Linked DNA regions of Ovis aries. The protein of the gene in region 1 binds, or shares a complex with, the protein of each later gene. Links are inferred from orthologs where the notes say so. Each region holds a gene or a part of one and is shown on either strand. Other genes may lie near its edges. The genes, in order: LRP6 and SOST.

The links.
Region 2: the proteins of LRP6 (region 1) and SOST are in contact, whole or in part, in a crystal structure (PDB 6L6R), measured with the Homo sapiens proteins. The link is inferred for Ovis aries from reciprocal best matches to the Homo sapiens genes LRP6 and SOST. Residues at the interface, in NP_001401174.1 of Homo sapiens: Arg28, Asp52, Val70, Ser71, Glu73, Leu95, Ser96, Asp98, Glu115, Arg141, Trp157, Trp183, Asn185, Ala201, His226, Phe228, Trp242, Met269, Arg336, His361, Asp379, His404, Asp406, Thr422, Glu447, Arg449, Trp465, Trp491, Asn493, His534; in NP_079513.1 of Homo sapiens: Leu115, Pro116, Asn117, Ala118, Ile119, Gly120, Arg121, Arg169, Thr171, Arg172, His174, Asn175, Gln176, Ser177.

Annotation. Positions count from the first base shown.
Region 1 is NC_056056.1:203,318,794-203,322,602, forward strand, and holds part of LRP6 (low-density lipoprotein receptor-related protein 6), read left to right. Parts: intron 1-967; coding exon 968-1,194; intron 1,195-3,592; coding exon 3,593-3,777; intron 3,778-3,809. UniProt on the Homo sapiens protein: Component of the Wnt-Fzd-LRP5-LRP6 complex that triggers beta-catenin signaling through inducing aggregation of receptor-ligand complexes into ribosome-sized signalosomes.
Region 2 is NC_056064.1:43,393,610-43,398,151, reverse strand, and holds the start of SOST (sclerostin), read left to right. Parts: upstream 1-1,684; 5' UTR 1,685-1,736; coding exon 1,737-1,953; intron 1,954-4,542. UniProt on the Homo sapiens protein: Negative regulator of bone growth that acts through inhibition of Wnt signaling and bone formation.

The DNA.
Region 1 (3,809 bases):
CCAGATTCTTCTGGACCTGTTTTAGATAGCTTATGTAAAACTTTGTCTAATATGCAAAAATCATGTTAGAGCCAGGGTTAGACTGTAATGGTGGCCAGTAAAATCTGTTAAATGAGTGAGTAAATAAATGCTTTATTATGTGGACTTGTGACTTTCCTCATCTTGAAAGCAGAGATGCTTTTGTGAGCATTAAATGAGAAAATATATGTACACCAAGCACTTAGGATGGTACTTTCTATGAAGTAGGAGCTATTATTAATAGCTTAAATTATGACTGTTTTAATTTTTAGGTGATTCATAGCTATAATGGTAATGATATGAGTAGTGTCATATGCATTTTATAAGGTATAAGGTTGTTGAGCTCTTCCTCAGTTAATGCAATGACTTCGCATACTCTCAAGCACCTTTAGGAAGCTCTGTGTGTGTTAGTCGCTCAGTCATGTCTGACTCTTTGCAACCCCATAGACTGTAGCCCGCCAGGCTCCTCTGTCCATGGAATTCTCCAGGCAGGAATATTGTAGTGAGTTGCTGTTCCCTTCTTCAGGGAGTCTTCCCGACCCAGAGGCAGAACTTGGGCCCCTTACAATGCAGACGGATTCTTTACCATCTGAGCCACCAGGTTGGAAGTCAGGAAACTGGCAACCAGTTAAAAGTCCACAATACTCTGGTCACATCTTTTTCACTTGATTACTAATAATAAGTTTTATAAGAATAGTCGCTCCACTGTATTACTAGAATAAATTTCTGATTCTTAAGACTTTGAAAAATTTCTCCCTGAATTGACAATAAAACTTGAGGTCGCAGTTGTGTTCATTGGAGGTTGACGTCATTTTTTTTTTTTTTTTCTGTGCTCATAAAATAGGTGAATTGTATTGAGAAACTGTGCCTTTGGCTCTTCTGTATCTTCCCTTAAAATCTTAGGGTTTGGTACCTAAGCCGTGTGACGTTGTTAATCTTATTTCTGCAGACTATCAGCAGAGCCTTTATGAATGGCAGTGCCCTGGAACACGTGGTAGAATTTGGCTTAGATTATCCAGAAGGCATGGCCGTAGACTGGCTTGGGAAGAACTTGTACTGGGCAGACACGGGAACCAATCGAATTGAGGTGTCAAAGTTGGATGGGCAGCACCGACAAGTTTTGGTGTGGAAAGACCTAGATAGTCCTAGAGCTCTTGCGTTGGACCCCGCTGAAGGGTAAACAGCTTTTCATATCCGTTCTTTGCAACTGTATTGCACATGGCCTAGTTATGGATTGTATTCTTGATGTCTTTAAATCATGCTTTTTGGGGAGCTGACAGGTAAATCAACGTTTTATCTTAAAATCGTTAGTTGAGATTTCACTGATGTAGGATAAATAATTAGCTAAATTTTACTTTTGTCATTATTAGCATTAGGTGAATAAAAATTAGTGAAATGAGTTATTAGTTAAATATTAATGATTGTATTTATATGCTAAGTAGACAGCCTTTTGAAAGGTGTCATGAAATCTATTTGCTTCCACTCTCTCCCAAGTTATACCAGATTCTAAACCTCTGAAAATAAACCCACTGAAATAATGTGTGCTAAGAAATAACTACATTAAAAGGCTCTACTTTAGAATGTTCATTAACTCAAGAATGGATAATTCGTTATTATTATAAACTTGGAGAAACTTTGATATTAAACAGTGAACTTTCTGATAAATTTATGTACAACATGACATGTTTTTCAAGGATAGATGATCCTTCTTACATGATTTAGCAAGTTTTAAAAAGAGATCTGTATAGTCAAGGCTACAGTATTCACAGTGGTCACATATGGTCTTGAGAGCTGGACTGTAAAGGCAGAATGCCAAAGAATTGATGCCTTCAAACTGTGGTGCTGGAGAAGACTCCTGAAAGTCCCTTGGTCAGCAAGGAGATCAAACCAGTCAATCATAAGGGAAATCAACCCTGAATACTCATTGGAAGGACTGATACTGAAGCTGAAGCTCCAGTATTTTGGTCATCTGATGCAAACAGCTGGCTCATTGTAAAAGTCCCTGATGCTGGGAAAGATTGTGGGCAGAAGGAGAGGAGGGTGTCAGAGGATGAGATGGCTGGATGGCATCACTGATGCAATGGACATGAACTTGGGGAAACTCTGGGAGATGGTGAGGGACTGGGAGGCCTGGTGTGCTGCAGTCCATGGGGTCGCAAAGAATTGGACACAACTGGACGACTGAACAACAGCAACAAAAAAATCCATCATGTAAGAATGCTGAATTTTGAAGAATAACTCCATTTTAAAAAGCAGAAGTTAACCTTGTGAACATAGCAGCACATTGACCATGGCCATATTGCAAAGTTGTTTCCCTGAATCAGTCAATTCCCTGGTTAGCTTGCTGGCCATGCAGTTAGAAAGTCATACCAAAGGCACCATCTCTGTGCTGACATGTTTTGATTAGTTTATGGTGATTTTTACTCTGGCTACTAGTTACCAGACAGATAAATTTAGTAGTTGGGACAAAGGACTCTAGTTTACGTGGCTGCTGGCAACTGTGACGTTTCTCCCACAGTTGTTTTCTCTTTGGCTCTTGGGATGTACTCGTGCCTGTTAGCTGACAAGTACAAATGCAAACAAAGAACAAAGCCCAAGACAGCTTGAGTTTTCAGAAAAATGTGTTTATACATTGCTACCAAGTCAACCATCAGCCGATGGGCTGGTGAATGAATGTCTCCTTTGAGTAGTTGATGAGACCTGGCACGCGGAGAACTTTCCTAGACCCAGTATTCAAAGCGTCTTGAAACTAGCACTACTGGTTCAGTCCAAAAGGCATTTGGCTGAGAATTACCTTCTAGTTCTAGCTCTGCCATATGCCTGGCTTGAAGACATTAGACAGATCAGTTGCACTTCTTGTTGGACCTTGTCATCCTCATCTGCAAAAGTCTGTACTGTGCGGTTGCTCTACAGTTAATGTGAAAAACCCAAAAGAGTACATTCACAGGGACTGTAGTAGTAGTGTTCATTGCTCAGCTGACACACTAAGGGATGTGTGCGATTCAGTAGTATGTTACCTTGGACAATGTGACCAAATGCATTTCAAACTTTGCTTTTAAACTTCAGTTCACAGTTGTTAAGTTGTACCTTTGATGTACTGCGGCAGCTTGGTTTTTGGGAGAGTGATTTACACAAATCAGAAAGTAAGTTTTAAAAATTTAAAAAGTCGAATTTCTTGTCTTCAGAAATACATGTATTTTGTTCTGAAGTGAGTCAAATTCTGAGACCAGCACTTTAATCCTTTGCTATCTTCTTTTTGAATATTAGTTTTATAAATGCAAGTGCTGCAATAAGGAAACCATGGGTTTGTGTCCAATTCCTAGGTTTTGGATGGAACAGATTCATTGGAAACACTAAGGAAAGTTGACTCACTTCCTTTTTAGGATATGAGAAAAAATATTTAGTTGAGACTGCCAATGTAATTGAAAAAATTAATAGCTTTGATTTTGCTTTGCCAATTTCCTTGATTTAGTGTATATTTTCTTTAAATTTACTTAGTTACCATACATGAATATGATCGTTTCTCCCAAGTAATCAAAAGTGAAATGTTAAGTATCCATTGGTTTGAATTTAGATTTATGTACTGGACTGAATGGGGTGGAAAACCTAAAATAGACAGAGCTGCCATGGATGGAAGTGAACGTACTACGCTAGTTCCCAATGTAGGACGAGCAAACGGCTTAACCATTGATTATGCTAAAAGGAGGCTTTATTGGACAGACCTGGACACCAACTTGATAGAGTCTTCAAATATGCTTGGTAAGCTGTACTCTTTTTTTTGTTGTTGTTCA
Region 2 (4,542 bases), on another chromosome or scaffold:
TTCTCACAACACGGCCAGCTCTGTTGGGAGAGATAGATCACCCGCAACAATGGCCACAGCTGTTTTCGTCTGCCCTGAAGGAAACTGACTTGGGAAGCAGGTATCAGAGGGGGCCCTTCCTGCAGGGGCTTCTGTCTGGCTTGTAAAACTGTCAGAGCAGCTGCATTTATGTGTTGAGTGATGGATGATGGAAAGGAGGGACAGACGGCCGCAGATGGACACAGTGACTTACAAGTCGAGGCAGGTGGCAGAGTGTGGGGTGTGCAGGTGGGGTGTGCTGATTCATTGCCCAGTGAAAATACCAAATACCACAGTCCACTTCCCAGCCTCCTTCGAGGCCTGGAGCGAGTGTGCCTCCTCAAACAATCCGTCTGCCACGAACGCTTCCGCGGGTGCGCCTTTCTTTTCCTGCACCTCAGGTGTGAATCTTCCTCCCCCTCCCTGGGCCCTCTTTGTTTTCCAGGGTGTGTTTGTGTGCTCAATCACTCAGTCATGTCCAACTCTTTGCAACGTTATGGACTATAGCCTGCCAGGCTCCTCTGTCCATGGGACTCTCCAGGCAAGAATACTGGAGTGGGTTGCCATACCTTTCTCCAGGGGATCTTTCCAACCCAGAGATAGAACCCAGGTCACCAGCATTGTGGGCGACCTGAGCCACCAGGGAAAGGTAGCGATTCCTTCTGAGCTCTCTGTGGCTAGCTGGACCTGGTACTGCTTCACCGAATGCATCCATCCCATGCTCTGCACCAATAAGGTTTTCCACACAGGACTCAAAGCGGGTTTTGAAAAATGTAATGGTCTGGGAAACAAGAAAAAAAAAATGTCAGCACTAAAAATGCTGGCTTCCACTTTTGCTAAGAAAAGGGATTTTGTGCTCTCTACTTCTACCCACAGCATGGCCCGGGAAATAACTGCCCGTGGCACATCAGCCTGCCAAGAAGTGCCTGTCACCAAGCACAAGATCTCCAGGGAGCCTGAGCCGAGGTTTCCTCCTTGTCTCCATCACCAGAGCCTGTTGACCTCTCACCCTGGCCTGGAAACCAGAATCCCTGCCCCCTCGGAAGTAGAAGCCCCTGCTGTGACCCTCCAGATTTCCCTCTTGCCTTCCAGAGGGATGATGACAAGAGGGGCCTTCTTGGTCAGGATAATTGATGCTGAGCCACATGTAGGCCAATGAGAGTTCTTAAAAAGCTGCCTTCTGCCTCTGCCTGGGTCCGTGGGGGCCAATAGACACCATCGTTTTATTTTGGTGGGGTGACAAATGAACTTGGCCTGAGAGGTGGGATCAGCAGGGCTAAGACCTGCAGAGAACTCAGAGCTGTAGTTTGCTTCATTAAGCTAGTGCTGAGTTTGTTTTGAGAAAGCCTGAGGGGCCCAGGGAGGTAGAGATGAGGAGCTGGAGCTCGTTTTGATATCCGAAAACTGCAGCCGCCTGCACGTGGGAGGCGCTGAGAGCAGGCTTGCCTCACACGCCCCCCTCACCATTGGTCACCTGGGAGCACCAGCAGCAATTTGGGAGATTTCTGAGCTCAAGGAGGAGTCTTTGGGGAGGGCTTGCCTGGAGCACACCCCGTTCCCTCCTCCTGGGCTGAGGGAAGCATGGGACCAGCCCTGCCCCAGCCTGTCCTCATTGGCTGGCATGAGGCAGAGGGGGCTTTAAAAAGGCAAACGTGTCCAGGCTGGGGACTGGAGCCTGTGCTACTAGGAAGGCCGAGTGCCCTCCTCCAGCTGGCACTATGCAGCTCTCTCTTGCCCTGTGTCTCGTCTGCCTGCTGGTGCATGCAGCCTTCCGCGTGGTGGAGGGCCAGGGGTGGCAGGCCTTCAAGAATGATGCCACGGAAATCATCCCTGAGCTGGGCGAGTACCCCGAGCCTCTGCCAGAGCAGAACAACAAGACCATGAACCGGGCGGAGAACGGAGGGAGACCTCCCCACCACCCCTTTGAGACCAAAGGTATGTGACGCAGGAGAGTATTTTTAGCATAAGGGTCCTGGGAAGGTTCTCTTTGGGACTGTTACCAGCACCAGTGGACAGACAACTTTGCCAGGAAGCCAGGGAAAGATGCCATGTCAGCTGTATCCTTAGAACTCAAGTGCGAGGGCGTGGGGCTGACAGGGTCCTGGGAGTGAAAGTGCAGAGCAGGAGGGAGGCTGCGGTGGTGGGTGCAGCTCTGGGACAGGCTCAGGGGCTCAGAAAGGAGATTTCAAAGAATCCCCTCCTGAGAAGAGAGGAGTAGGGTCCAACTGCTGACCCCACTGGGGAGGGGACAAGACAAGGGAGCTTCACGTCTGTGAGCACCCGCTAGATGCAGTCGCTACATGGACTATGCCTGGACCGTACCCCAGGGAACTCCCAAGGTCCTCCTCCCAAGGAGGCTTCAGAGATGAAGTGGCTTGTTAAGCCAGCTGAGATTTGAAGCTAGTTTGATCCAATTACAAGACAGCCCTGGAAGGGGACTACATAGGGGATGTCGGAGGCCAAAAGTCACAACGAATCCTGGCAAAGCAGTGAGAAAGGGACGCCAGAGGGGCACCCCTTCAGCCCCCACCACCCATGATCTACCCAGTGAGCTGGCCCTTGAAGGAATGGGCGCTGCAGCTACCTGAGTGGGGGCCCTGGAGGGGAAGCAGCATCCTTGGGGCCGGGCATGGACACAGGTGGCACCCTCTGTCCTGAGTCGCCACCCTAGATCTAGCCTTGCCTCCTTCCTGGGAGGGAGCCTGACCCTAGTGAAAGGGCAGAGACCCCACCTGGGTCCCTGGCTGGGTCTGCACAGAGAAGCCTGAGGGGCAGCATGCGTAGCTGGCTCTGCAGATGGCAGGAATGGCTGGGGGCAGGGGGCCGGAATGATGCTTCAGAGGAAGGCCCTCTGGCCGCAGTCCAGGTGGGAGAGGAGTCCACAGCCCTGGCCCTGGGATCCCATCCTGCCCTGCCTCCCAACCAGCTGGGAATGGGGGCTCTGCAGAGGGCACGCCAGAGGAGCCGTGCCTCTCCCCTGCTCCTGCCCAGGGAAGATCAAGTAAACTCAAGGGATGGGCTGTAAGGAACCCAAGATGTCCACCTCTCTGGGTTCCCATGAATGCCACAGGTGCAGAGGAAGCCACGTGCTCCGGAGTCACCCTGTGCAGAGGAAGCACTTGACCTAGGGGTACTATTCTTGGAAAGCCCCAAGCCTCCTTCCCTGGGCAAACAGGCCGCCCCCACACACCACCCCTGCGGGCCTAGGAGCAGGGGCAAGGGTGCCAAACCAGACCAGAAACAAAAGGCCAGCTGGGGGCGGAAGGTAACCCCCCACACACCCTGCTGCTGTGCTTATTCTACAAGGTAGGGGTGTGGGGGGCTGGCCTTGTCTGTCTCCTCTCTGGTTTTGGTCATAGGACTATTTTTCATCCCTTTGTGTCACATTGAAACTGTCCCTATGAGACCCCTGGGGATGGACAGGTGCTCACATGAGGACCAGCTGTTTAAAAAAGCTCCTACCAGTCTAAGTCCATAGTAGGAGACATGATCAAGGTGTCTTCAGGCATCAAGCCAGACCTTAGAGCCCAATCTTCCCCCGCCCAGGGAGCAGGTCTATGCCACCATTGGGTGTCCACAGAATAGCACAGAAGAGATGAGCCCAGCGCCCAGCACAGTGCCTGGTACACACCAGGTACTTAGTAAGTGTTTGTGGCAACTGAAGCTTTAGGTTTTCAGTCAGATCTTAGCCCCCTGATAGGGAAGGAACGATAGTAAAAGTAGTAAAAGGCAGCCCTTTGGCCCCCCTCACTCCTCCACTCAACATCCCATGGTGCCCAGGCACACAACTTCCACTTTGCGGGAGCCTGGAGGTGCAGGGGCCTCAGAGGCGCAGAGTCAGGAGACCAGCTCTGCCTTTCCGGAAGGAGCTTTTCCTTCTCCGGGCCTCAGTGATAATGAGGGGGTTGGAGGTGCTGCCATCGGCTCCTTTCAAGTCTAAGGACTTCAGTCCCCTCTCCACCTCTCCTTCCATCCCTCTCCTCCTCAGTAGCTGCTCTGATTTATTACCGTCAATTAACCCCTACTCCTTTCTCCATCCCCTCTGCACCCTGTCACTCCTCCCAACCAGCTAGAAAAGGAATTTGGGAGAAGTCAGAGACATTCAGAAGGTGTGGCTAATAACTACCCTGCTGAGGCCAGGGGCCCTGTGGGACAGATGTGACTTAAGTCTGGTGAAGAGGACCCCCTTGGAGAGGAATAATAACTGTAATAGCACCAACACTTCCAGCTCTTACTGTGTTCTAAGCAGCATCCCCTGAATTATATATGTAAAGGATTGGCTCATTGAATCTTCAAGACAACCCATTTTACAGATAGGAAGCACACAGAGGTTAAGCAACTTGTCCAAGGTCACACAGTCATGGAACTGATATTCGAACCGAAGCAGTCACTTGGCTCCAAAGTTTTAGGGTGAGAAGGTGGACCCGTGATCTTTCCACCAGCTCCAGAGTAATTGGGCCCTTCCCATAATAGACCCCCAGGGGCAAAAGCGTCTGGGGAGAGGCAGGTCTGGGGCGGGCAGGG